Rhinolophus ferrumequinum: one gene and its partners. The protein of the gene in region 1 interacts with the protein of each later gene in a pairwise test. Links are inferred from orthologs where the notes say so. Each region holds a gene or a part of one and is shown in the gene's direction. Other genes may lie near its edges.

What was found.
Region 2: the proteins of CARD9 (region 1) and FAM161A interact in binary tests that used the Homo sapiens proteins (3 or more experiments, as listed by UniProt). The two-hybrid records come from large-scale screens. The link is inferred for Rhinolophus ferrumequinum from reciprocal best matches to the Homo sapiens genes CARD9 and FAM161A.
Region 3: the proteins of CARD9 (region 1) and TCEANC interact in binary tests that used the Homo sapiens proteins (3 or more experiments, as listed by UniProt). The two-hybrid records come from large-scale screens. The link is inferred for Rhinolophus ferrumequinum from reciprocal best matches to the Homo sapiens genes CARD9 and TCEANC.
Region 4: the proteins of CARD9 (region 1) and TCL1A interact in binary tests that used the Homo sapiens proteins (3 or more experiments, as listed by UniProt). The two-hybrid records come from large-scale screens. The link is inferred for Rhinolophus ferrumequinum from reciprocal best matches to the Homo sapiens genes CARD9 and TCL1A.

What each region holds. Positions count from the first base shown.
Region 1 is NC_046295.1:82,446,500-82,453,325, forward strand, and holds the start of CARD9 (caspase recruitment domain-containing protein 9), read left to right. Parts: upstream 1-3,802; 5' UTR 3,803-5,247; intron 5,248-6,652; exon of another isoform or gene 6,653-6,683; 5' UTR 6,684-6,736; coding exon 6,737-6,826. UniProt on the Homo sapiens protein: Adapter protein that plays a key role in innate immune response against fungi by forming signaling complexes downstream of C-type lectin receptors.
Region 2 is NC_046296.1:27,370,340-27,377,448, forward strand, and holds the start of FAM161A (protein FAM161A), read left to right. Parts: upstream 1-4,099; 5' UTR 4,100-4,416; coding exon 4,417-4,602; intron 4,603-7,109. UniProt on the Homo sapiens protein: Involved in ciliogenesis.
Region 3 is NC_046284.1:116,519,773-116,526,749, reverse strand, and holds the start of TCEANC (transcription elongation factor A N-terminal and central domain-containing protein), read left to right. Parts: upstream 1-3,960; 5' UTR 3,961-4,048; intron 4,049-4,065; exon of another isoform or gene 4,066-4,490; intron 4,491-6,025; 5' UTR 6,026-6,102; coding exon 6,103-6,151; intron 6,152-6,977.
Region 4 is NC_046289.1:7,766,674-7,774,209, forward strand, and holds the start of TCL1A (T-cell leukemia/lymphoma protein 1A), read left to right. Parts: upstream 1-4,519; coding exon 4,520-4,636; intron 4,637-7,121; coding exon 7,122-7,292; intron 7,293-7,536. UniProt on the Homo sapiens protein: Enhances the phosphorylation and activation of AKT1, AKT2 and AKT3. Promotes nuclear translocation of AKT1. Enhances cell proliferation, stabilizes mitochondrial membrane potential and promotes cell survival.

The sequences.
Region 1 (6,826 bases):
GTGCCCATGCCAGCCATGGTGGGCCTTTCCAAGCCGGCAGCGACCCCTGACCCCAAAGGGCTGTTGGTGACTCTGTCACCCTCCCTGACTGAGACTCAGGCAGGCCAGGGCCTGGTCAACATGGGCACAGACTCAGAGCCTCGCTCCAGGACAGACCTCGTGACCCCTTCGACACCCCTGCCATCCCAGAGCCCTGTAAAAGTGGACAGTGACGGGGTCCGTGCCCCTGGGGGACACTCTTCCCCTGGAGAGGCCCAAGTGGCTGGGGAGACAGCCTCCCAGGCTGCACTCCTGGCTGACCACCCTGCAGCACGGCCCAACCAGCAGCCTCTACATGGTGGTGATGGCCCGGGAGGGACACCGGGGTCCCCTTCAGTGCCAGGGGAGACCAGGGGGCCTCCAGACTTGCAGAGGCAACCGCCACCCCGGCTTGGGCCTGAGAAGGGTGCCCTGGACCTAGGTCTCCTTTCCCAGGAGAGTGAGGTGGCTGTGCGGGAGTGGCTGAGGGGACAGCGGGGGGTGTGTGTGCCCCCCCTGAGGAGCAGGCTCCCCTACCAGCCCCCCTCCCTGTGCAGCCTGCGCGCACTGTCCGGCCTCCTCCTCCACAAGAAAGCACTGGAGCGAAGAGCCGCCGCCCTGGTGGTGCCCGGTGGGGCAGGTGGGGCAGCGGGAGCCGCGCAGGCCTCCCTGGGACCGCTGCAGCACAGCCCAGCCTACCTGCTGCTGAAGACGCGCTTCCTGGCGACCTTCACCCTCCCCGCACTCCTGGCCACCTTGTCCCCTCACGGTGTCCCCACCACCCTGTCAGCAGCCATGAGGGCAGACCCCGAGAGTGAGGACAGCGAGAGTGAAGACGACGGTGTGGGGCAGCTGGAGCTCTCTGGTGGCCACAGGCAGCCAGGCTGCTGGGCGAGCGGCAGTCCCCAGGAAGGGTCGGCGGCCACAAGCCCTGCTCAGGTAGGTGGCCGTAGGTACACAGCCTTCACCCCACTTCCCTGCTCCCCACAGGACACCCTTGCCTACCTGCAGTGTGTGGCCTGCCCAGAGTGCGCGGCGTGGGGGCTGGGGACAGAGCAAGTGGAAGTCGTGGCCAGGAGAGACAGCTGGTGGGTTTCTGGGGAGGAGGAAGCTGGCTCCCAGCCTGCCCGGTGGCGTGTAGGTGGTGCAGCCGTCGCCACCCCTTTTGGCCAGTGTGGGAATTGGGGGAAAGGAACCTCACTTCTAACATGGGGAGATCCCCAGCTGCTCTTGGGGCTGCCAGCCATGAGGCTTGTCAGGGAGAAAGTGGCCTAGGCGCCAGGCTTCCCCCACACACACGCCCCTCACATGCAGGGGCTGGAAGCCATGTAGAAGGCAGCCCTGCACACGCTCTTCTGTGGATGCCACATCCCTCCAGGTGTCAGCTCTGGCACCGTCCCCGTCAGGAGGCTTTCTAAGCTGCGGAGGCGGCATCCTCATCCCGATTTCCCAACCAGAAACCTGATAAAAACACACGCAGGAAGGTGTCCCACATCTTCTGTGGCTGTGTGTGCCCAGGAGTCCCCAGGAAGGCGCCTCTGTCCTAACCAGGCTGAGTAGGAGAGCTGGACCGCCTTGGGCACTTTGTGCCATGTCAGCGAGGCTGTCCAGAGCCCTTGCAGCTGTGTGGGGAGCATGCGATGCCCCCCCCCCAGAGATCACCTCCACAAGCAGTCCCCCCACTTCCCCACCTGGGGCGGCCATGGCCACACAGGAGGCAGGGCGGTGCTGGGGCCTGTGCCACCTTTCCTGCAGGCTCAGTCCACCCTGGCCTGCTGGGAACGTCACCTCCATCCCCTGGGGCCTTGCCTAGGGCTCCCAGGGCTGTCTTCTGGGCTGACGTGCAGTGGAAGACATTGTTGGACTCCATACGTCACAGGGAAGAGCCTCCCTGTCCCCCATTGTATGTGCAGCCTCCATCGCCACCAGGTCACTGCCCTGCTGGCCCAGCCAGGGGGACCATGACACATGATGCTGGCTCTCGGCTATGGAGAGGGGTTTGGAGACCCCAGGGGGGAGTGAGGTCAGCAGAAAGCCAGAGCCCACAGGTGGCCCCAGCATCCCTCCCGGTCCTTGCCTGCCATAGCCCGTGCGTGTGTTGGGGTCACCTGCTGCTGCTGGCACTGCCGTTTGCCTGGGAACTGCTCTTTGCAAGCATAAGCCTGAGGAGCTGCCTGTCCCAGGTGTTGGGGACACGGCATCCACAGGCCCCTTGGCTCCTTGCTGCTGCCCATCCCAGCTGGAGGGTCACTCTTGTCCCCCCACCTGGGTTTTGTTTCAGGGAGCCCCAGACCCTGGCGAGGGCTCTGCCCCCTCTTGCCCAAACGATTATGACGACTTTGATGTGCTCAGGACCCGGCGTGCTCGACACACCCGGAAGCGGAGGAAGCTAGTGTGAGCAGCAGGGTGAGTGTGGGAAGCTGGTGCCTGGCACCAGGAAGGGACGGGGCCCTGACGTCAGCTCTGCCCGGGGCACGGGGGCTAGGCCACCTGTGTGCCTGGCTCTGTGGGGTTAGGGTGGGTCCAGGGTCAGGAGGCTAATCTTCAACTGCCACATGTCTCCTGGCACTTCCTTCCTGCTGTCCCCTCCCTCCATCCTGGCCTCTGCTCAGTGGTCAGCTCCTCAGACACACCTTCCCTGACCACCGTCCTCAGGCGGCGTGGCCATCCCAATGTCTGTCCTGATGCACTTGCTACTCCGTGACTGCCTGGCCACGGCCTGTCCACTGTCTGCCTGGAACATGAGCCCAGACAGCAGGCACTGAGTAGGTGCTCAGCACACACAGGCGGAGTTCATGAAACAGACGAGGGAGGGAGGAGGCCATGGCCGGCAGGTCCCCCGAGGCGGGAGCCGGCTCCTCGGACTGTGGACTAGGAGGGGGCGGGGCTCCAAAGGGGACATTACACTTGCAGCCCCCCCCCCGCCCCGTGCTCCATGACCTGTCCTCTCCCACAGGGCGCAGTGCCACTCTGGTTCCTGCTCCTCCACAGGGCCATTCGGGGGTCTGGCGGGGTCAGGACAGCCCTCCACCCAGGTGTCCTTGTGTTCCAGGGCTGCCCGGCCTGGATGCCCACAGCTGCTGCGATGGGGCGGGGCCACCCGGCCCGGGATCCCACCGCTCACCGTGAAGGAGAAAGCGGCCAGGGGCCGGGTAGGCTCTGCCCACAGTGACGGCGTTGTCACAGGCTCACCTGGTCCCAAGTGCAAATTGGAATATTTGAAGGAATTAAGTAAATGTCCTATTTTTTAATTAAAAAGCAAGCCACAGAGTCTTGTGGTCTGTCCTGAGCTATGAGACGACATGCAGAGGGATTGGGCCTCCGCAGGGCATGGGGGAGGAGGCAGCGGCCGCCTTACGACAACCGCTCGTGGCTGCCAGCCATCTGGGTGCCACCGCAGGGACGAGGGGGACCCACTTCTGCCGTCCGGACCACACAGGCTGCCCAGGCGCTCTTCCTCTTGTGCAGGCGTTTCTTCAGCGTGAGACTGAGCCCCAGCACAGTCTCCATCCCTCGGCCAAGAACACTGGCGGGGGTTCGGTTTACAGCCTCTGAGGTGCTCAGCGTGTGTCCTGGCCCCCAGCCTCCCACGAGGCACCTGTCTCCCTTCCCTCCCACCAGACACCACGTGTCACACCTCCCATGGGCCACTCGTCACTCGGTTGCCTGTGTGTGCACACGCGTGCTTTGTGCGCAGTGCTCCCCACCCATTTTGTTCTCCTTGTGACTTTCTCTGATTTGTGGGTCCCTGACCAGCGTGTATTTAATTTCCGAGTATGCAGGGCCTGTCCCGGGAGCTTTATTCCTGATCTGTAGCATAACCCTGATGCACTGAGAACACAGCATATTGTTACTTCGTGCCCCTTTGTTAGTCTTGTTTGACCAAGTGGGGAAAGTGGGTAGTGGAGGGCCTAGCACAGGCCGGCATGTCAGGTCACAGTGGACCTGCAACGTACCCACTCCTGTGGCGGGCCCAGCCTGGGGGCTGCTCCGTTGAGGGCCTGGGAGGACCCCTGGTCACCCACTCCTCCAGGGTGATGTCGGGCCGCTGCTGTCCTCTGAGAGGGCCAGTCCGTCACGTTGCCACCGCCACGCAGCAGCACCTGGTCGTGTCAGGATTCCCAAGGTTTCGGCCAAACAGCAAGTGCCTGTCGGGCCAGGAGGCAGAGGAACAGAGGCTGAGGTGTGGTGCCATGGGAAGGTGGGCCAGGAACACCAGTCAGACGCTCATCCTGCCAGTCCTGCCCTTCCAGCCACAGCCCCTTCCAGTAGCTGTCATCTTAGCCCGGCAGGTGACAACTCGGTTCAACCCGTCTGGCTGCCCCAGTGAGGCGGTAGCTTGGGGATTCCGACGGCCCACGGAGGACTGGTGCCGTGGCCAGGGCCTGAGCTTCACTCTGTGCTCAACACCCTTCGGAAACGCGTGATGGGCCATGGGGAGTGCATCGGGGTCCTGGGAGGCTGCCGCCACTGTCCCATCAGCGCTGGTGGACAGGGGCTGCAGAGTGGAGATGCTCCCAGGAAGGGGTGAGGCTGAGCGAGCTGCAGTGTGGGGCAGGCAGGCAGGCCCGGGGCCGCGTGCAGCCTGCAGCGGCCTCCCCAGCCCCAGCCCCTTTGGGCACCACACTGCAGTCCCTAGGTGACCAAAGCCTGCCTGGCCTGGCTGTGTGGGGGCGCTCAGCTGGGGGCCAGAGTCAGGGCTGATGCCCTCAAGTCCCCAGCTGAGGTCTCCCCACCTACACCCCGTATGTATGCCTGTCCCGTGCCGGCCTTGCTCGTCCCCACGAGGCTGCTGGAGGTCAAGGTGTTAGGCACAGAGCACCCCCTGCTGGAGAAGCCTCCAGAAGCCTGCGTCTGGACCAAGGCAGACCTGATGGTGGGTCAGCCTCGTCCAGCCCCAGGGAGACCCTTTGCTCAAACTTGCACTTTGTGGGGTGCCAGGGCCGGGCTGCTCCCAGCAGCTTTCCTCTGAATGTCATCAACTTCCACTTCTGTCTGCCCCGCCTTCCGGGGCCCTGGCTGGCCAATCAGAACGCAGCCACCTGGGACCTTCCTCTGCTGGAGAAGTGGCCGGGCCCCTGGAGTGAAGAGTCAGGAGGAAGCACAGGCTTCCCGCCCGGGCTTCACCCTCCCTCGGCCGGCTGCAGGCACACCTCCCATTGCCTCCCGAATCGGGTGGCCCAGGCTGGCCGGCGTCCAGCGGCGACGGTGCCCCCTCAGGACCCCGAGGTAGGCTGGGAAGACACTGCGGCTCTGCTCAGCGCTTCTGGGGCAGGGAGCTGGTCCTGGAGCAAATATCTCAAGGACACCAAGTGGCCTCCTCTCTCCTGCTCTGTCCCCTTCACAGCCACTGGAACCTGCCGGTGCATTTCAGTGCCACCAGCAGCAGGGTGGCAGGTGTGGGACCTGCGTGTTTTAGGCTAGAAAGGCAGGGAACGGCCGAAGGTCCCAAGGACCATCCACCGAGTTGTTGTTTTCCTTCAATACGTTGGCTGTTGCTGGGCCGGGTGGGGTGGCCAGGTGCAGCGTAAGAGAGAAATGCCTCAAGGACCAGGCCTGCTGCCACCTGTACCTCTGGGAGCGCAGTCTAGTTCCTGGGGACTGAAGGCTCTGTCTGAGGTGGCCGGGCCAGGATTTCCGTCCCCACCCCCCAGAGGGGTGCAACCACCACATGGCTGCTCCCGGCTTTGGCCCGGCCCTGGAGAGAGCGGTTTGCCGCCTGCTGGTAGAAGGGAACAGCAGTGGGTGGTCCTAGCATAGGTAGTCCCCGAGCGTGTGGTCTAGAGCGTGTGGTCTAGAGTGTGTGGACTCGGAGTCTGGGAGGCAGGAGAGGAGCCCAGGACCCGAGCACCTGGAGCAGGCACTGAGGCAGCACATCGGCCGGCCCTGGGAGACACCACCGCCCCTCCCAGTGTGGCTGGGCCTGTGCTCCGTAGGCGTCCACGGTCACCCTCCCCGGCAGTGTCACTGAGCCAGACTCGGAGCAGCCAGCCCTGGAAAAGCTGCTGGGTGACTGTTGCATCACCGGCTGGCCACCGGAAGGAAAGGAGGGGACAGGACTGGGACATGAGTGGGTGCTGAGTCGGGGAATGAGGAAGTCTGGCAGAGCACAGGGCGGTGTGCAGGTGGGAGGGTCACTTGTCAACGTGCTTTCTGACCACAGACTGGGCACTGGCTGGCCAGGGGCTGGAGCGTCCCTCCCCACACCTGCCAGGGAGGTTGTGCCAGCAGGCAGCACCTGGCACAAACAGCTCCTCCTGCCCACAACCTCGTGGCTGGGAGGCAGCCCTCCCTGCCAGCTCCAGCTCTGTGGCATTTGGGGTGTCCAGGAGTAGGCAGAGGCACAAGGACGGCCATGCACGGAGGACAGTGTTTTCTTAGCACCCGTCCGTGGAGCATCTCCACACTGTGCCCCCACACTCACCCAGTGACTCGGGGAGAAAGCCCAAGAGGGCCAGGGGGTGAGGGGGTGTGGGAGCAGAGCCCAGGAAAGGCTGGGGGGAACAAGGTCACTGTACCATTGCCGCCTCCCTCTGTTGGTCGCCAAGATGGGAGGGTGTGGGCTGAGGCTGCACACGGGGACAGGTGCCTTGTCAGGCTCTGCCCAGAGCCCTGGCTGGCATCGTGATGGCAGGCCTGGGTCCTGGCTGGGACTGACCGCTCAGCGAGCGGGTGTGCCTCCCAGCTGCTGCCCCAGACTGCAGCCGCTCCTGCCGCCATGTCGGACTACGAGAATGAGGACGAGTGCTGGAGCACCCTGGAAGGCTTCAGGGTGAAGCTCATCTCGACCATAGACCCCTCACGCATC
Region 2 (7,109 bases), on another chromosome or scaffold:
GTGTACTTTATCACAAAAGAAACAAATTAGAAAAAAGTTATTGGTCATGCAAAGAAGCAGGAAACTATGACCAATAATAGAGAAAACCAAGAGAAACAAACCTAAAAATGACAAATGAATTATCAGACCTTAAAACAGCTTTTATAAATCTTCCATAAGTGCTCAAGGATGTAAAAGAAAATATGAACATGATGAGAGAAGTGGAAGATATAAAAGAGACCCAAATGAAATATCTAAAAATGAAAATTTCATTATCATTTAGAAAAGTACTCTGAGTAGGATTCATATCAGGTTAGACATTACCAAAGAAAAAGACAGCAAACTTGAAGAGAGGACCTTAGAAACTATCCAAAATAAAGCACAAAAAGAAATGGGATTGGTTTTGTGAATTGATTTTGTATCCAAAAACCTTGTTAAACTCTATTACTCTAATAATTTACCTCTATTTTTTGGGGAGATCTACACAAGCAATCTGTGAACATTTGAGAGTTTTTTCTCCCTCTCCAATCCTTATACCTTCCCCCCGCCCCTTTCCTTTCTTTCTGGCTAGCACCTAGAGTACAATGCAGAATAGAAATGACCAGTGAGTGTGGTGGTCAACCTCCCAGGTAGCACCAAATAATTCCTGCCTCCTTGTATCACACTCTTAGTAGTCCCTGTCCCACATTGTACCAGGATTTGGTGACAGCATATGATCAATAGCATAAAGCAGAAGTGACAGTATGTGACTTTAAAGATTAAATTATAAAACACTGCCTTCTGTCTTGGACACTCTGGCTTTCCCTCTCTCCTGAATCATTTGCTCTAAGAGGAACAAGCTGCTACGGTGTGAGAAGATCTATGGAGAGGACTTTGGCCAATAGTTACCTAGGAACTGAGTGAGGTCTGTCAACAACCACATGTTGACTAACGAAGCTCATTAGCTTGGAAGTGGATTCTCCATTCTCAGTTGAGCCTTGAGAAGATCATAGCCCTAACCAATGGCTTGACTCAACCTTGTGAGATACCCTGATCCTGAACAATTCAACTAAACTCCCCTAAATTTCTGACTCTCAGAAACTATGTGGAGTAATGTGTATTGTTTTAGGGTAGTACATTACATAGCAGTAGATAACTAATATAGTGGGCATCTTCGTTTTGCCCATTTTTTTACTGTTAAGATGTTTGCTATTTTGTTTAAATTTTATTTTTGTTTATTGTTAGATGTCCTTTATCAGGTTAAGGAAATTTCCTTTTATTCCTAGTTAAGTTTTTGTTTTAATCATGTATGAATGTCAATTTTTATCAAATACATTTTCTGTATTTGTTGAGATAATTCTATGATTTTTCTGCTTATATTAGTCTTTTTCAAAGAATGAATTTTAGCTTCATTTTGCTCTATTGGAGGAGTGGGGGAGATGCTTCCCCACTGCTCACACTACAAACCAGCAAACAAAGGCTTGGGAAGAAGGGCTCAAATCTTCTTTATTGCACATTTCTTTAATTTCTTCCATTTATCTAATTTCTGTGCTTATTTCCTTCTACTTTCTTTGAGTATGTCTGTACTTCCTCCCCCCCCCTCTTTCTTTTTTTTTTTTTTTGTTATTAGGTTGGATTATTCTCCCCCACCTCTTCGCTTTCTAAAGTATCAGACTATATCTTGGCCTGAAGACTTTCCTACTCCCTTTTTCTTTCACAGAAATTTCCCCCAATAAATCTCTTACACTTCTCCTTCAACAACCCAAAGGACCATCAACTGGTGAATGGATAAACTTAAGAAAGTGATAAAAACAATGTAAATACTGCATATTAAGAGTATGCCTGTCTGTAACTGTCACATTATGAGCAGGACCAAAAAAAAAAAAGGAAAATTTTTCCAGTGTTGGAAAACTATTCTCTCTTTCAGCAAAGAATACTACTCAGCAATTAAAAAGGAACAGACTACTCATGGATATATTCAACATGGATGAATCTTACAAAAAACAAACAAACAGTATGCTGAGCAAAAGAAGCTGGGAGCAAAAAGAATACATATTGTATGGTTCCATTTATATGAAGTCCTAGAACAGTCAAGGGGATGGAATGGGGAATAGATGGCAAAAGGGCATAAAGGATCTTTCTGGGATAATAGAAATGTTTGTATTTTAAGGGTATGATTTCATGAGTGTATGCATTTGTCAAATTTTATCCAACTATACATTTAAGATCTACTCATACTCATTTCACTGTGTTACATCTCAATACAAAAGTGCAAAAACAAGTTGGTTAGAGTGCAGGGCTCATAACACCAAGGTCAGCGGTTTAATTCCCACATGGGCCAGTGAGCTGCGCCCTCCCCAACTAGATTGAAAACAACAACTTGACTTGCAGCTGATAGGTCCTGGAAAAACACTGTTCCCCAATATTCCCCAATAAAAATGAAAACAAAAAAGTGCAAAAACAATTCTTCTTATGATGATTTAAGATGTCATTTTCTTCTTGTAGTTCTGTCCTGTAGGGACAGCTAGGAGTGCAATTCCCAGGCTTTCGGCCTTACGTGGAAAGGTGCTGGCTCAGGTAGTAAATGGCCATCAACTGTGATTGGATGGCCATCAGCTGTGGCTAGTTGGCTGTTAGCTGTACCCAGTGAACCACTGGCCACTAATATAACTGCTGTGCCTACACTAGCAGCAAATGGGGGATAGCAAGAAGACAGTGGCAGAGCTAGTAAGCACGGATTGCAGTTAGCAAGGGGGGGTTGGTTGGTTAGCAGAGAAGTGGACGGAAGGTTGCAGATCGTGTGGATCCTGTTTCCTGTGTCTCCAACCCAGCTGCCAGCGAGAATATAGTGGTATGACTCCACTATCTATGGCTCCTTTTTGGCCTCACCATATCCTGCATTCTTATGTGGCGAGCGGTACCAGGGACCCCACATGCCACCTTGCATGACATGTCCACTTCTGCTTTATATGCTTTGAAGCTATGTTATTAGGTATATATAAATTTAGAATATTGCTGGTGAATGGAAACTTATGAGCTCTTCTACATACATACACAACATGTTCTATTCTATTCCTATCTAATCCTATTCTTGCCTATCCTTGCCTAGTCTTTTGTAGTGCTTCAACATGTAGACACATCTTGCTGTTTTGGGGTCGGGCTTATACCAAATCCCAAGACAGGCACATGCAGCCACAGAACCAGCTGCATGTGAATGACTGGAAGTCCCCACTATGGTCACTTGGGGCATCCATACCTCATGTGCTTTCAACTCTGGCTTCTGCTCCGAATTGAGCCAGTATTTGTTCAGTGTGAGAAGCACACTTCAGCTCAAACCAAGGGCAGCTTAAGGAGGTGGGGGAGTGGGGGGGATTTTGCAGGTGCTCACACACCAGACCTGTGAACAAGAAAGGCTTGGTAAGAAGGGCTCAGATCTCAGAGTTGAGTTCTAGACAGCACATGCTGCACACTAACTTTATGGTGGTGATGGTCCATGGCCGGTTATGGAGCTGGAGGCAGGAGGAGGCTGGAGAACAGAGAGGGAAAGTTACAACAGCCTCAGCCTCAGGAAGTGGGGGCTTAGGTAGCAGGTGGCTGAGGCTGCACCATGTCTGCTATTTTCAGGCTAGGCCTCTCTTAACAGCCACGTGGCTTAGAAGGGAGGTGCCGTTTGAAGCGCCCAAATCTCCAGTGGGAAATGTTAATGGGATGAGATGGAGATGTGGTGTGTCTCTGGTTACTGTTGGGAGCTCGCGACCTCCACCACCACTATAAAGTTATTTAAACCAAGCAGCGAACACCTACATTGTCACTCACTGGTGGGTGGGCTAGGCCCCACCCAACTCTGGGCTTTTATTGGTCAGACCAAGAAAAATCGCGTACCTCGCAGCCTTCTTTGGATTGGTCGATTTCTGGTAGCTCTCAAGTCAATCAAAGTAAAATACCGCACTCTTTTCCATTCTCTGACTCCATGTTAGGGAAGCCATGTTAGGTAGCAGGATGCAAACCTTGCCACTGTTCTGAGACCCCACACAATAATATCCCCTGCTTTCCTCTAACGCCGCCGTCTTCTTTTAACATGTTAGTTCAATGAATGAAAAGGCGCTGTTTTCTTTATTTACAAAACGAGTTGTTTTATTAGTATAATGTGAGAAGTCTGCGTTTAGGCGGTGAGGCGCGAAGCTGGGGAAGCGATGCCCTGTTCTGCCTGCCAACCCTCCAATAAACCAGCAGAGACTCAGTTCTAACTCCCATCATCCAGGAAGCGCCCGCCTTGAAACTCCTGCAGCGTGCGAGGATTTTCAGTAACTTTTGGCCCCTCGCGGCCCTTGTAGCGTCCCTAGTTACCGTGCCCCTAGTAACCGCCCACTCCAAGCAGGGAGTCGCCAGGTAGCTAGAGGCCGCGCCAGCTTCCCAGCCCCGGCTCGGCGCGGGCGCTCAGGCCTCGGCGGCGAGCTGATGGCCGCCTCGCACCCAGCGGCGGAGCTGGAGTCTTCCAGTCTCCAAACCCCGGTAAATCCCAACACCTGGGTGCGGGTGGCCCAGTACCAACGCGAAGACCCGTTAGAGGCTCTGGCGGCAGCGGCCTTGGAGGAGGAGAAACAGGAAGAGCGGGAGGAGGCGGTGCGGCCGGCGCGGGCGCTGGTAATGTAGGGGCGGGACGTGGGCTAGGGTTGGGCGCTGGCTGGGTGCAGGCCGGTCGACCTCCCCGCTGGGCTGAGCGACGTGCTGGGAAACGCGGCGCCCTGCCCAGATCCTCCCTATCCGGTTATCCTGGCACAGCACCTTCTTTCTGGCCCCATGAAAACCCCTCAAAACCGGGCGAGGCGTTGAAAAGTCTTCTAATTTTCACCAAAGAGACTGTTGTAAAAATTTCTTAGCGTTTACTTCACTCTGTTTAGACTAGAGTGCAAAGTACAGAACCTTAGTCCTTATTCTCCAGCATCTATCAGAAGTAGATATTCCCTTTAATTTTTGACTCGGGGAAGACTGATCTACCCCCATAGAGGATAATCTATAAAACTCAGGCGAATCAACTGTACTGTCAGAAGTGTGTTTTGTTGTCACCTTAAGATCTTGGTTATTAGTGCATCTTAACTCGATACATAAGAGGCGATATTTAAAACCATCAAATGTTCAGTGGATACATCAGACACAGATATAGTAGTTAAGCATCCAGAGAAGCAAATTACTGAAGACCCAGTATTTCCTAAATGCCTTTTCAGGTTGGCTTGAGACAGCCTTTTCACTGATACTTTTCAGTGTCATGTGTGTCCTGAACACCTGTCCACCAGGTAGAGGGCCAAGACTGCCATCTGTGCTATTCCCTTAAAATATAGAAACATTGAATTTTAACTATCTACCTGCAGCTATAAATCTCCAGTTAAAGATTCTTAATACTATTTGCCCAAGCCTCTCAGATACAAAACATTATGGTCTACAGGGCTAATAGAAATCAGTAGATATTTTGGAATTCTAATCTCTTTAAACTATACTAAAACCGTTAATCAGAAAATCTGTAGCAACACCTTTTATGGTCAGCATTTCACCAACAGATGTAAATTATTAGAGGTTATCCAGAGTAAGGCTTATTCAGACCCTGAACATGAACCAGAGTGAGTCTAAGGGCCAGTTTCATTCATGATAAAGTTTTCCTTCAACACAACTTTAGTAGCCAAGAAAGGAGACAAAGTGATGGAGGAAAAAAATTTGAATGGAGTATTTGGAGTCCTGATTATATGACCCATTCTCTGCTATTTGCTAGATGACATTAAGATGTAATTTCCTTCAATCTCTGTTTCTGTATCTGTAAAAGAACTATAATAATTGTCTCTCTTTCTTGCCTCACTGGGATATTATGAGAACCAAATGAGAGAATGTGTGTCGTATCTAAATAACAGTTTGTATAAATTAGTAATAATAATAACTACTGCCAGTGAGACTGTCATTTGAACAACCTGCCCAAAGATTAAATTCTATTTTGGATTGCTGTGGTAGAGGAGTCAGTTATTTCTATAGTTGCAGTATACTTCCATAATGCCTTATCAAACTGCAAATTTGTATTAGAAACTTAATTACTTTCAGAGAGATTAGTTTCAAAGGGACAGAATCCTACACCTCCCTCCCCCCAAAAAAGGAAGTTAAGTCTTATCAATTTGACACTGTTTGTGACCACTACACTTGAAGGACCCAAAAGCAAACCTGGACAATCTGCTCCTTATTGCCTGATAACCAGAGGATACTGGGGTGGGGAAAAAAGCACTGAAAAGGCAGGAAAGAGAGTGCGGGAGCCAAGCTGGCTTGGGTCTGCACCTTGATTTTTAAAGGTTAATTTGGCTCAACTTTGTCATCTATAAAATGTAGTAAACTCAGATACCATAGCCATCACACAAGATTGATTAGAGAACCAACTGTCATAGTAGGCCTCTTCCGTTTGCCAAAGCCCCCCTACCCCTTGCAAGACTGCCCATACTGGGCACTGAGGCATGTTCCTTGAACCTAGCCTCAGCTGGAGATATCAGTTCATAGGCTTTGTTACATGGTTGATGATGACACAGGTATAGCAGTTAAAATTTCCACAGTTAAAATTTCACTGAGTTTCCTAATGGGGTCTCTCTCTCTCTCTTTTTCAAAATCAAATATTGAGCATTTATTAAAATTAAATATTGAGCTAGTCACTGACTCTTCAGTGGTGAATGAAGCAAACATAGCTCTCATCATTGCAGAGCTTCCAGTCTGGTGGGGAGGCTACATAATAAAGAAAAATGAACAATGAACATAAGATGGGAAATTTTGGAAAAGAAATTAACAGGTTACTATGATTTTTAAAAGAAGTAGGAGGGAACCTATTTAAATGAGTTAACATTTAGGTCAATGTCTGATAAATGAAAAAAAGTAGCCATTTGAAGAGTAGGGGTGGGAAAAACATTCCAGGCAGAGGGAACAGCATATGCAGAGGCCGTGAGATAGGAAAAGCTTTGTATGATTAAGGATCTGAAAGAAAACCAACAAGACTGGGAAAGAGTGAGGGGAAGAAAGGGAGAGGGGAAGAGAGTAGGTTGGCGAGGTCAGCAGGGCCTGCTCGTTCAGGGCCTTATTTGACCAAGTAAGGAGTTGAGTGTTTATTGTAGGTGGGTGGTCCTTGAAGACTT
Region 3 (6,977 bases), on another chromosome or scaffold:
GATGGCTCTCAAATCTCACAGCTACATTAAGACAGGGGCTGTTGTCAGTCTTTGCTGGTAGCAAGCAACAGAAACAGATCTCAGCTGACTTACAGCAAAGGGAGGATACAGCAAAGAAGCAGGAGTGTGCAGGCAGGTGGAAGACCAGTGATCCAGCCTTAGAAATGGACTGCAGGGCTAGAAGCAGAGCTATGGGGGAAGCCATTGCTGATCAGCATGCCACCATTGCCAGAATGACCTGTCACCATGTTACTGTCCACATTACTCTGCTCAAAATACCTATTCTGGGGAGGGTTGTGCAATTGGCTCAGCTTGGGTCATGTGGCTGCCCCCCTGGCTAGGGCAAATTGGGGCACCTGATTGGCTGTGCAGGAAGTGGGCTGAAAGCTATTGGCCCAAACCCACCGATGTCCACCACGTGGACCCCATCACATAAAAGCTGGGATTGAGTACTTGTCATTGTCCCAGCCAACATACCAATCTAAATGATTTACTCTTATGACAAAGGAGTCGATGCCTTCATTCTCTCCAGCAGCTAGAAAACTAGGTGGTGTTTGCATCAGGTTTGAAATGAAGAACAACTAATAAAAACTATTATATGAGTCAATGATACAGCAAGTATAATGTGTTAGGTCGTTATGGGGAGGAAATGAGGCTGAAATGGAAAAATGCTTCTCTTGGGCACCGTAAATCAGAATGGTACACTTCTGGCCAAATGTGTCTCCCCCTGAAGACTTAGAAGACCTGGAGTGAACATGGTTATCCTTTATTATTGTCGTTGTTGATGAATGGTCCCTTCTGGCAGCATGCCCAGGTTATATCATGAAAGGAGGGCTGTGCATGGTGTGTACAGTGTCAATCCATGAGAATGAGCCTTGAAGCTACATGATGCAAGAAGAAAAGACAAAGAAGCAGCACAGGCCAATGATTTTTAGTTCAATGCTTATGTCTTGCCACTCTGATGAACTGCTGTTACAAAACGACCTCCCTTTAAAAGAAAAACCTGAGAACCAAAATGAAGTGAGGTATTTCTTGGAGCAGTCCACATATCAGGATCACTGGCAGACTATTCCTTCTGGTAACAAGCCACTCTGACAATGAAATCCCAGGGGTAGGCTTCAGCTCAGATTTCTTCACAGCAGTGCAAACGGCAATTGAGTAGGCAGGCAGAGGTTTTTGAATAGAATTGGCGTCCTTTCATCCTATTTCTTTTTGTACCTTTTCTATATTTTCCTGATTAAATGGAATTTTGAAGCATCCCCAGAAACCAAGTAGTATAAATATTGTCTCATTGCCTCTGAATTTCCATTCTATGATCTGCACCAAGAATTGATTAAAGCCAGACTTCCTGGTCCTTCGTTTCTCTGCTAATCTGCTGCCATAAATCTATGGTAGAATAATGCACATTCTAGAGAAACAACAAAAATGGACTCATGGTGTGGGAAAGGCGAACAAGAGGTATGGACATGGCCTAAAGATGACTACAGGTACAAGAGAATGTTAAATGGGACTCTTCCTGACTTGGAGTTTCGCCCAAGGCCCCAAAACTGAGCACACTGTTAAGTACCCACTGATCCTAGAGACATGCCAGACCACTTACACAAGGCTAAGTGGAGAGCCCAAACTACTTCTGCCATCTATGGCCCCTCACCCCTCTTCAGCTTATGTAAAAGAGAAGGCAAGAGTGAAAGAGGGCTGTTCCAATTCTGGAAGCTTGCTCCTGCCTTCCAGGCAAGTGGAGGGGACTTTGAGAGAACCACTTGGAGAGACTGGCAGGTTCTCCTGTCGTGAAAGGGCACAAGAAACGGTGCTCAACTCTTCCGAAAAACTCAACAGGTGAGAAGCCAGCTGGGGCTGCCTACGGCTACCTACCGTGTTTTCCCGAAAAGAAGACCTAGCCGGACCATCAGCTCTAATGCGTCTTTGGGAGCAAAAAGATGCATTAGAGCCGATGGTCCGGCTAGGTCTTATTTTCAGGGAAATACAGTGTGAGGGCAGAGAGCGGCTGCAGAGGGAGCAGCCTCAGCTTCCAGGGCTTAGTGAAGGGCAGAATGGCTGGGGTTTTCCCCTCGGCTAAGTGCACATCAAGCAAACAGCTGGCCTTCGGCTGTTTTGGAAGGACCCTGCCCAAGAGGCCTGTCTGCAATGAGGTGACACAACAGAAAAAGGCCGGGTGGGGACATGCCACCAAAAGCAAGAGCTGGTGTTCAACCAGACAGTGTATCATCTGAGAATAGGTGAGAAGGGGCTTCCAGCAACAGGGGTGGGGGGGGTGTCTCCAAAAAAAATCTCAAAAGGACAAAAGAGGCAGCATTTGGACATCAGCACACAGAGAACTCCAATACCAGGTAACAACATTATTCATTGTACGAAATAACAGAAATTTAATTTTTTCAGTTCTGGAGCCAGATGTCCAACCTCAAGGGGTTGGCAGGAGCACAATCCCTCCATAGCTCTAGGAGAAAATCCCTCCTTGCCTCTTTCAGCTTCTGGTGGCTCCAGGAATTCCTTGGTTTGTGGTTGCACAACTCCAATGTGCATCTGCATCTTCATGTGGCTTTCTCCTCTGTGTCTGTGTTTATTTCCTTTTCTGTATCTTATAAGGACACTTGTCATTGGATTTAGGGCCTACCTGGGTATTCCAGGATGCTCTCACTTCAAGATCCTTAATTATATCTTCAAAGACCCTTTTTTCCAAATAAGGTCATATTCAGAGATTCTGGGGGTACGTATCTATCTTTGGTGGGAGGACGTTTTACCGCTCCTTCCTCCTCCTGCCCTCACCTGAGAGAGACCAGAAAATAGTGGAGGCAGTGCGGAAAGGTTGCAATAAGGTCGGTGAAGGAATTGATCCATGTCTTTCCCCTTTGCTGTCCCAGAGTTACAGACCACACCTGAGCTGAGGAAAGGTCGGAGCTTTTAATTGGATAATTGAATTTTTTATATTAGATTAGAATGGACTTTTTAACAACCTAAAAATAAGATTATTTCTTTATACCTGAGAGTCATTGGAAAAGCTGTGGGATTTACTTAAGCCTCAAGCTCCAGCCCTGGAGGAACCAATGGGCAGGGGAGAGAGCCCACAGAGGTTGTTTCAAGGCAGTAGTGAGAAAAAAAATAAGAGTCTCTTCGTACGTGCACCCTACGGAGCCCAGCCTGTTCCATAGATTTATACGTGTTGCACTGTTCTGTGATTCAAACAATCTTATTGCAATAGCCTTTTAAAACTAAAATCTCTTAGGCTATATCCAGGATGGACCGGCAGTATTTCAACAGTTTTTATAACTGAGTCGCTGCTGGGTTTTGTTTACTTTTATTTTTTACTAATTACAAATGTAACCTTGGTCTGTCTTCCCTCCTTCTAGGTAAGGTTTATTACATTGCTCAATCATAGAATCACCTGCTTCCTGACAGCATTCAATCCAGAGTAAAGCCCTGCTTCCTTGAACCTTCCCCCAAGTTACCTTATAGGAGGGGATCAGCAAAGAAGGCTGCCACATATTCTAGTTCTACCATCACTTTGGTTTTATTGAACCCTTGCACGGAAAGATGTGTATAGATGATTAGCGCGGGATGCACATGGCTACTTCATGAATGTCTACTACTTTCGTATCAAACTGATGCATGCTAGGGGTGCAGTAAATACTGTTGGATTAATTACTGCGTTAAATAAATAATTCATATTTTTGTCCAAAGTTTTGTCAACATTTAGCTGAGCACTGTCTTGACTGGAAGCAAAAAGGATAGGCTACAGAGTAGTTCAACAAATCTTGCTGCCCAAAAACGTTAGCCGGGCTAGTTTTTTTCAACTCATGCCGAGATGCTGGACTATACGGCCTCCGCCACCCAGCCACGGAGAGGCGGGCCCACGGGCGCTGACCCTCTGCGCAGGCGCCATCTCCACTGCACGCACGCGCTGGATCCAGGCTGCGTTCTTTGGTCTGCGGGCTTGGATTGGTTGAGCCGCCGTGGTCCCGCCCTGGGAACCGGAAGTTCCCTCAGGGCGAGGGGGTCAGTGAGGGCACGTAGGCGTCGCCTGCGCTTCTCGGTGAGACACACTGCGGGTTGGCTGGGGTCTCTGTCCACCGTTGCTTGGGGAAACCCACCCCTGCTTGGGGAGGCTCTCGGTGTTACCTGGGCCGGGTAGGCCCGAACGTGCCCTCGTCTCCTCCTCTCCAGCGGAGGTCGCGGCGTGGGCAGATTGCTCCGTGCCGCCGCTGCTTCTGGGCTGGGGGCCAGACTCACCCGGGGACGGTTTGCCTCCGGCTTTGCTTGTCGCACCACACCCATTGGAACCCGAACCCGAACCCGGACCAGAGCGGGCCCTTAGACTGCTCCCTCGCACTCGCTGCACCTTTGCTAGGGATCATCCTGACGTGAGAGGACCCCAGCGCAGTATTGAGTGGCTGTTCAGGAACTGCAACGCCCCTACCAACATTTGGCATCATTTCTCTCCATAGACGAGGGGCTCCCTGTGTAACTGGAGAGGTGTATGTGTTACGGCTGGAAACTTAAATTTTCTCTCTAGATCTTAGATCTAAAGGCCTAAACAGATCTAGGTTCCAGCTGATTTGTTAGCAGCCTTTGGAAATTTTTCTTTGATCTTTCCCCTTTAGGGTTTAGGCCAGGTGTATGTACCTTGCCCATACTGTAGTATTAGTTAATATTTACAAGCTTTTAACGTGCATTTGGTCCACGGATATTTATGGCCCACTCTTGCTGGTGCTGTGTAAACTCTATTTTTGATACGTATTCAGAAGGTAGGGGTATAGGTATGTAAGCATCTATATTCGCATATGCACTAGAACTGTGTTGTCCAATATGGTAGCCACTAGCTACCTAAGTGTTGAGCACTTGAAATTGTGCCCAGTCCGAATTGAGTTCTGCAGTAAGTGTAAACAGCGAATTTTGGAGAATCAGTATGAAAAAGAATATATGTCAGTAATTCGTTTATATTGATAGCATCTTAAAATGGCAGTATTTCGGATACACTGGGTTAGATAAAATATTAATTTCACCTGTTTGTTTTTTAACATGGCTACTAGACAGTTTTAAATTCTGTCAGTGGCTTGCATTACATTGCTATTGAACAAAGCATTGCTCTAGAAAGGAATCAGCAAACACTGGCCTGCAGCCGAATCCAGCCTGCCTGTCTTTGAAAAAAATAATTATTGGAACAAAGCCATACCCATTCATTGATGTATTGTCTATGGCTGTTGTTCTTCCATAAGAGCCTGGAGTTGGGTAGTCCATACAGAGATTTGATGGACTGCAAAGTCTGAAATATTTACTATCTGGCCTTTTACAGAAAAAGTTTGCTAATCCCCTGTTCCAGAACAATGCCTGCTGTGGTAAATATATGTAAGCCTTTTCATTGTAGTCCTGCGTAATTGTCAGTCAGGCTTACAGTGTAACAGGCATACACTTCTAAGGACTTCATAAGGACTATCTCGTCTAATTTTCATATTAATCCTAGGATGTTGGATTTCCCCCATTTTGTAGATGAGGAAATTGAGGCACAAAATGGTCATGAAATTTACCCAATGTTCTCAATACTCCTTACTTCTGGGAACTGTATCTTCTTGACCTTCCTTATTCACAAATGGCTTGACGCCTGGAACTCACTTGATTAGTCCACAGTAGGCACCATGCTCTCTTTTTGTTTGTTTGTTTTTGAACTAGAATTTTTTAAATGACCTTTTAACTAGAATTGAGATGAGGTTGGTCTCGTGGAAGAAGCTGAGGGGCGCTGAGCTTAGGTGCAATGGGTACAAGCAAGGTGATCTGTAGTGACCAGAATGAAGCTCACAAGCAGAGAGGAGAGCATCCTGGGTGCTGTTTAGTCATTTAACAAAAAACATTTGTTCAGTAATAGTGAGCACTGGCCAGGTGTTTGCCAGGTGTGTATCAGTGAATGGAACAAATGTCATTCTTAGGGTCTTGTGGGGAAGACAGACAATTAAAAAAAAATTAACATGGTACGGACCATATAAAACAATGTGCAAATACTTGATGTTTTTTACAGGTTTCGTCATCCGTAAGTTGGAGATAAGTTGTACACCTGTCTCGGTTCTTGTGAGGATTGAGATGACCTGAGTGTGTATGGCACGGAGTTGCTCAATAAATGTACATTGTCTTCCACTGTTAAGAGGTAAGTGAGGGAATGAACATGAGGAATTGGGGGCATCGTGTCATTTTAAATATGACAGTCACCAGTTGTTATTTGTAGGAAGGCTCTCAGGTGAGTTGGGCACAGTACATGTTTTTCACATTTCCTGATTTAATGTCACTCATCTAGCAAAACCCGAAGTCAGGTTCTGTGTGTTCCGTCTAGGAGCAGGGTGGGAGCTGTCCTTGGGCTGAGTTACAGCGTGACTGTTACTGTTACAGCATAACTGGGACGGGCCTGCTGCAGGAAGGGAGTTGTGCCTCTCCAGTGGTGGCAGGCCTGGTTTAAATCAGAATCACCTGGAGAACTGAGACAATACCCAGGCCTACTTTCAAAGATTCTAATTCATTACCATTCTATCAAACAAGGGCCTGGCATTGTTTGTTTTTGTTTTTGCTCCTTAATTTCTCCAGATGATTCGGATTTGCATTCAGGACTGAGAATGACTCATCGTGAGAGACAGGCTAGGCTCAGGGAGCTCCTGGAGCAAAGGCTCAGAGCTGTGAAATGGGCAGTGCCTGTCGGTGGTTCTGTGGGGTCACGGAGGAGGCTGGAAGGCAGCTTTTCATCACCTGACCAAGGACCTTAACTCCATCCTGAGAGCAGAGGGGAACCTCTGACAGGCTTGAAGGGGGGAAATAAAGGACTATCTTGCTGAGATCTGTACTGGAAGATGACCCCTGTAACAAAGCGCCATGAATCAGAGTGAAGGCAGTGTACACGCATTTGGAGCTGGCCCGATGGTGGCAGACCCAGGTTCAGTTTCAGTATTCTTCCTGCGTCCTTTAGTGGCCGGTGTCTGTCCTTG
Region 4 (7,536 bases), on another chromosome or scaffold:
CAGCCCCAGTAATGCTGTGGGTATAATCCCCAAAGTGTGAAATAATCCTAGGTTTGAGAAACGCATCTGATACAAATGTAGGGGAACATTAGTGTGTGTCTGCGCCATGGGAGCCACATTTCCAGCTCCAATTGTCCATTGCAAGTTTACTACATGCTGCTGACTCTACCAGCTTGTCGGGTCACCCCCTTTGGTGCGTTTTGAGTAGGGGGTCTGGGGGCATTGGCTTTTGCGTTTGTGCGCTGTGTGTGTACTGGGTTAATATCAGGTCTTGGGACTCAGAGGGGGCTCCCAGATCATCAGCCTCACCTCGAGCTTGTTGGAAATGTGGTATCTCAACCCCACCCTCCGAATTAGAAAATGCATTTTGACAAGATCTCCACCCACACCTTAAAGTTTGAGAAGCGCTTAAAACTTAAAACTCTGTTAAGTTTAAAGAGAGCAATAGTAGCCACCTGTGGGTAAAGCCAAGCTCGGTCCAAGTTTTACGTAGAATATCCTTGTCCCAGCTTCTCCATTAATCGAGAGGTTAAATTTCATCCTTTTGGATAAAAGCTATAACTTCCTTTTTACCCTGACTTCACTTGATCATCCGCCCTAATTATCTAAAATATGACCCAGACTTAGGAATAATTTAAAAACCATTCCAGGTGACCAGCATGGACGCCTTGATATCTACATATCAGAGTTTCTACGTTTTACCTGTTGGTGAGATCTCAGACCCTTACAATTCTAATCATCTTGGTGCTATGGTCCCCTGCACACACAAAACGGGAAGCAGGAAACTAAAAGTAGGGCACAGGGAAAGAAGTAAAGTGCAGGTTTGGGGTGAGGTATACAGTGAGAATTGACGGTAGAAAGAATAGCTTTAACATTTTCACAGTTATTTAGTTTTATAAATCTTGTTCCCACCTCAAAAACAGTAATTCAAATCATAGAGACGTGATTGTCAGACTGGCTGCACTTTAAATTAGCAGAGGAGACCCTAAAAAAAGAAAAGTTGTACCCAAGCCTGCATCTCAGGAATTCTGGCCTCATGGGTATGGGGTGGGGTCCAAGCACAGTTGTTTCACAAAAGCTTCCTAGGTGATTCTATTTAGCAGTCAGGGCTGCGCTCCACTAGCTTAATGATTTGGGGCCATTGCAGGGCCCACAGGCCTGGATGCCTTTACAGGCCCATTACAGCTTGCTGTAATCATGGGTGATGGTTACCAGGATTTTCTCTAAAGAGGAAAACACTTGATATATTAGCAGCAATTGTAACAGAACATAAGATAACCTAGAACTAAATGATACAGAGACACATATTCAGCTCTTGGGTCACAGAGAAATCTAGAGGGACTGGTGGAAGGAGGCCGACACCTATCATCTCTCCCTCCTGGTCCTGCCTCTGTAACGTGCCCATGAAGCACTGGGGGATCTTGTTACAGTGCCGATTCTGACTCAGTAGGTCTGGGGAGGGCTCGATATCCTGCAATTCTCATGAACTTTAAGTGATGCTAACGTAGGTGGTCCGGGGGCCAGCCTTCAGGAAGCAAGGCTCTGGTTCCTACTGCTGGCCATGACTCACCCTCAAGGACCTTCTTTGGAACCCGACAAGAAGGATGGCTTCCTCACTCAGGAAAAATGAATTCCACTGGAATCCTTGATATCCAGAACCACTGTGCTCAAAACTATAGGCTTTCCTGAACTAAGGTGTCATGTGGGATGTCATGCGGGGTCTCTGGTCCCACTTCCCGTATAAGAACACAGGACATGGTGAGGCCAAAAAGGAACACCCACGGAGCCATAGATAGGGGAGTCATATCACTAGAGTCTCGCTGGCAGCTGGGTTGGAAACACAGGAAGCAGGAGCCACACTATCCGCAAACTGCCGTCCACTTCTCCCTGCCAATCCACCTCACTTGCTAGCTGCAATGCGCCGTGCTAACTGCAATCTGCGCTTGCTAGCTCAGCCACCATCTTCTTGCTAGGCCCTCATTTTTCTGCTAGCGTAGCAACAGCAGTTATATTAGTGGCCAATGGCTCACTGGTTACAGCTGACGGCCAACTAGCCACAGCTGATGGCCATCCAATCACAGTTGATGGCCATTTACTACCTGAGCCAGCACCTTTCCACGTGAGGCCGAGAGCCTGGAAACTGCACTCCTGGCTCTGTCCCCACATAAGGTCGCGAATTAAATCTTATCTTCTGTTAACCGTTCCCTCCTCCCACTAGGCAACTCTATCAGAGGTTCAGGGTCTGTTAGTTAGACATGGGCTTAGAGAACACCTAGCTTGGCCCATTCATTACAAAAGTGTGGCAATGAGATGGCAAAGGATGGCAAATTTCACAGGTCAAAGTCCAAAGTGGATCCAAGTCAGGACACAACAGCATCAATTAAGAATTCTTAAAAAAAAAAAAAGTCAAAATAATTGCTTTGCGTTACTTTCTGCATGAAACATCCACTTGATTATTCTCAGGGAGCTGGCAGACTAATAAACAAAGCGTTGGAAGGAATACAGAACGCTAAAGTGAGACTGACGGGCTGTAGAGCCCTAAGATGGGGCTGAGAACATGCTGGAAAGGCTCCCTGTCTCTGAGACCACACGACAGACGTTGTTTCCCCTCTCATGAAATGCCATAGAGAAGGCTCCTCATCAGCCTTCTTTCACTTTTCATTTTCTGGAACCCCTTCTCAAACGATTTTCTAAATCCTTCCCAATAATGACGCGTTCTCTTACGCAATAGTAAGAAGCCCTCGTGTGAAACTGAAGAAGTACATTGTTCTTTCAAAGACGGGGATCAAATTCCCAAAACATTCAGAAAAGAAGTGTAGCCAGCCAAATGGGTCTGATTCTTGTCCCATTATGTGTTCCTTTGTGGCGTCTTAGGAAAGCAGAACAACTGCTAATGAAATCGACAGACCCGGTGGCATTCCGGGTCCCGGAGCCATGGATGTGGCTGCGTCAGTGGCCACATGGCTCCTGGGTGCCCGTTCCCTTGCCACAAGAGGCCACACTAGCAGTATTGTTTAAACTGAACTCGTTTACCATTTTCAACCTCAAAGCTCAGGAGGAGGCTGAGACTCCCCCACAGAGCGTATTACCACATAGTCTCGGCTGCCAGGGGCTATCTGGATCTGGAAGTAAAAACAACCCCCAGGGAAATCAGCCTGAAAGCCACAAATTTGAATACTATTAAGTACTAACACCACTAGGGGCTGCACTGGGAAAAAGCTTTGCTGGGCTGGCGTCTCCTCCCTCGGCTCCCAGTTTTACTTGGTTTTTGTCTTCCATTTTACATTCCTGGTAAATCCAATTATACCTCTATTACTGGCGGCCACCACTGCCCCTTCTTGGGCTGTCTGGATAGGCAGAGAAGTAGATACATATCTTTGCTGCCTGGGGATCAGATAGTCACCTCACTTTCATGACATTTAAGAAGACCACAACTTATTTTCTAGGTGCCTAGTCAGAGGGACAGGAAAGAGCTAGGATGAGGCACCAAACTGCTACCAGTGGTGATTTTGGAGCACTGAGGCTGGAGTGCGTTTTACACATTTCTATTTTGCACTTTATTTTCTTAATCGCTTTGACGGACACGTGTTATGGCAAAATGCAGTAAAATTGTTTTCCTTATTTGCTGTAATTTACAGAGAGACAGTTTGGTCATATAAGCCAGGGATTTTTTCATATCCATCGGAGTCTTGGAGTGGAGGGAAGGGTTTCTTTTCAAGTATTGATTTCGAACATTTTCAGTAATGAATTCAAAGCCTATAAAGAGAAAAGCCCTGTTTCTTCACCACCATGTTTCACAATAGCTATTAGATGCGCACAGCAGCATCAAAGCTGTGGAAAATGCATGGCTTTTGTGTAGAAGTGGGAGCAGGGCTTCAAAAGTCGCACTTCGCGGAGGAAATTGATTGTGACACCCAAAGCCACAGGCTGGAGGTGATGACATGACCTGGGGGAGTCCAGGCCCTGTTCCGGCTTGCAAGGGTCCCTTCGGATCCCAGCAGACATGGAGTGGGCGCTGGCTCTGGGTTGCCTGGTGTGGGCTGTGAGTCACGGAATGGGGTGTGGCTCGAAGAGCCACACACCGTGGGTGATGGGACAGTGGGGTCCTAGAGGAGGGCGCCAGCGCTTCAGGACAGAAGACAGGGCCAAGGCTACAGACCAGGGTACCTCCGCATCAGTGGAGAGTTGGGGACAGAGGGCAAGGCCGGCTGGCCTCCAAGGATTCCCGGGTCTGTGCGCTCAGACACCGCCAGGATCCAGGGCACAATTCAGGACTTGGCGCAGGCGCAGCTCCGGATGCTGTGGGTCGCTCCACCACGCCCTGGGCCTGGCCCATCCTGCCCTGCGCAGCTGCCTTATCCTGCCCTGGGCCCCGCCTGCCTTGCTTCCCATTCTCCTCCCGCCCTGCCGCTTGGGGGCGCCCGCGCCATCCCGCTATAAAGCGTCTAGGTCCTGCGTCCCATCAACAAGCGAGAGGCCTTCGGAGGCTCTGGCTCTTGCTTTAGAGCGCCGGAGGGTCATGGGCGAGCTCCCGTTCAGCGTGCAGACGGCCTTGCATCCCGACCACCTGTGGATATGGCGAAAGGCCGTCTATGTAGACGAGAACCAGCGCACTTGGCTGCCCATCTCCATCAAGGTACAGCCACTCCGGGGCTGGGCTGGGCAGGGCAGGGCAGCATGGGTGTCACCATCCCTGGCCAGCCCTTGGGTGCCAAAGACGTCCCAGGCTGTGCACGGCTTCCAGGAGCCCCTCAGGTGCAGCGGCAGGGAGGCTCAGAAGGCCTGATCTGCTCGGGGCTCACAGATGAAACCATTTTGAGCTGGTCTCTAAGGAGAAGTAGTTCTCCAGGCCAGGAAGGAGTGTGGGAAAAAGATATGTTGGCCAAAGAATGGGGACCCAGTGCCTCGGGAGTGTGTGAATGTGATCTTGAGTAAAAGAGGAATTTTCTGGGTTTCAGGGTCCTAAGCCATAAAATGGGAATAATATCTCTCTAAAATAATTAATACGTGCATCCGATTATCAGTCTCCTTAGGTGCGCCCCAGAAATCGGTATTTTAAAAGGACCCTCAATAGATGTGATCACCAAGTTTGTGAACCACCGCCCTAGAGTTTGGGGTAAACAGACTTCACAAACTTATATAAATAATATAGTAGTATAAAAGCCAGTATTAAATAAATGTTGACTTTGTTTTATGTGTGATGACTTAAGGTGGAACTTAAGTTAATGATAACTTTTTTTAAAAAGAAATCTATTTCTCTTTAAGTACTTTCCATCATAGCATGGGTTGCCTCAAAGAAAATTAGGTGGAAAATGCAGAAACTTTCCATATGTAAACCGAAGTAAGAAAGTATAAAACCAAAGTTAAAATATGTAATATTAGAACTTTATGTAATAGCAAATAGCAAAAAGTTATTGAGTAGTGACTGTGTCCCCATTTTACAGGTGAGGAAACTGAGGCATAAAAATGTAAATTTGTCCAAAGTAACACTGCTAGTTAGGTAATGGGGTTGGGTTTCCACCATCTAAATTTGCATCTTTATTGGTATATATGTATATATATATATACTTTTTAAAATCAAGTAAAATATTTACTTTTTTAAGTCAAATATTTAAAACAAATTTAAGTGAAAATCTTTTTAATCTCCAGCTGGGGAATATCTTCTTCAAAATGACTGAAACCACAAAGCAGAGTTTTTCACATAATCATTATAAATTCTGCACAAAACTTAATGCATTAGCAAACAGTGCGACAGGATTTACCTTACGTAACTAAGACGCGTATTCTTAACATGTAAATCAACAAGCAAAGGATGAATAAGCAAACTAAAAATGGTTAAAGGATATGGAAGACTATGTACTAACACAACAAGAATGGTGATTTCCACATCTACACCTTGCAGAATGATCTGAATTATTTTTTAACCCTGAGTTCTACTTTCATTCATGGACAGAAAACTTTTAGAGGCTATTTCCACTTTGGAAAAATAGTCGTTGAACACACATGAGTGCCTAGTTTATATTCCAACAATGATTCTAGGCCGTGGGGGTTTGCAGTGAATGGGATAAAAATCCCACTACTTGTGAAGGTGACATTCTACTGGGCGAGAAGGACCATAGATAATTGAGGTCGGTGTTAAGTTGTGTAGGAGAACAAAGGTGGAATGAGAGACAAAACCAGTGGGGTGTCGGGTCTTCAGGCAGGACCCCCAGGGAGTCTTAATTTCCATTGGCTTGTCATGCTTTTGCCCATTTAATTTGAAACCTTCTGGAACCTCTGTTTTAGGTATGCCTCTTGTGTATATCTAGAATTGGATTTTGCTGAAATTTGTCTTTATAGAAGACATGCATTTGAGTAGATTCCTGCCTAAAAAAAGGGTGTGAGTCCCACTTAGACCTAGGGGAGAATGTTCCGGGCAGACAACAACAGGTGAAAGAGACTACTGGGAGTGTCACACGTCCCAGAAATAGTGCAGAGGCTGTGTGGCTGGTACAGGATGGAAAGTGATGGACAGACGGTAGGAGAGGAGGGAGACAGGCCCGGCTACGTGGGGCTGTGGGCTATGGTAAAGATGTCAGTTCATTCTGCCTCTGATAGGAAGTCATCGGAGCGTGTCCAACAGGGAGGGGAGTGACATACGTGATTGTTAGCCACACACCCTGGCTGCTGTGCCGAGAACTGACACTTGGGGAGTACAGGACCAACCAGGCGGCAAGTTAGGAAGTCATCGAAGTAGCCCAGATGGGGATGGCAAAAAGTGGTCTGTCACCTGATTCTGGGATCCAGGGATATCTTGTTTAAAAAAAGATATATGATAAAATAAAGAAAATCCTACATCAGCTGAAGTAGGCACCAAACCGCAGAGTTAAGGAAGCTCAAGGGCCCCGTGGCACAGCCTAGCTACTAGAAGTTCGTCAGAAAAGTGGGCCTTTGTGGCCCTGTCTGGATGTCCTGGCCCAGCCAGAGTCCCTGAGAGCACGTATGGCTTAAGGAATAGAGTTTCTAGAACAGTGCTTCCCAGAATCTCAGATGCCAGCCAGCCAGGCGAGTGGCAGGAAGAATCTAGTTATTTGTTCCTGGGGGAACCCTGAAGGTGTGCTCTGGTCTTCATTTCTCTTCAGACAGAAGATGGCCTCCGAGTACTCTTACGTCAGGAAGACATCCCCCGGGGGGAGGCTATGCGCCCCAGCCAGCTGCCCCCCAGCCCGCTGCCTTTGATGTGGCAGCTCTACCCTGGCAGACGGTACCGAGGCTCAGACTCCAGTTTCTGGCACATAGTGTACCACATTCAGGCAAGTGTGTGCTTCTGCCAGGGACCCGTTGGGTCATCTTGGGTGGTCCTACTGCCCCTCCCCCACGTCTGGCCTCTGCAGTGTATCTGTTCCCTCCTTTTCTGCACTAAAAAAAAAAAAAAAAAGAGGAGGGAATTTACAACTGCAGATTTTGAAAGGACTGTATTGAAGTTAGAAGTGAATGGTCGGACTACCCTGGGAGGCCTCTACCAGAAGCCCCCTCAGCCGCAGGAACGCCTCTGTG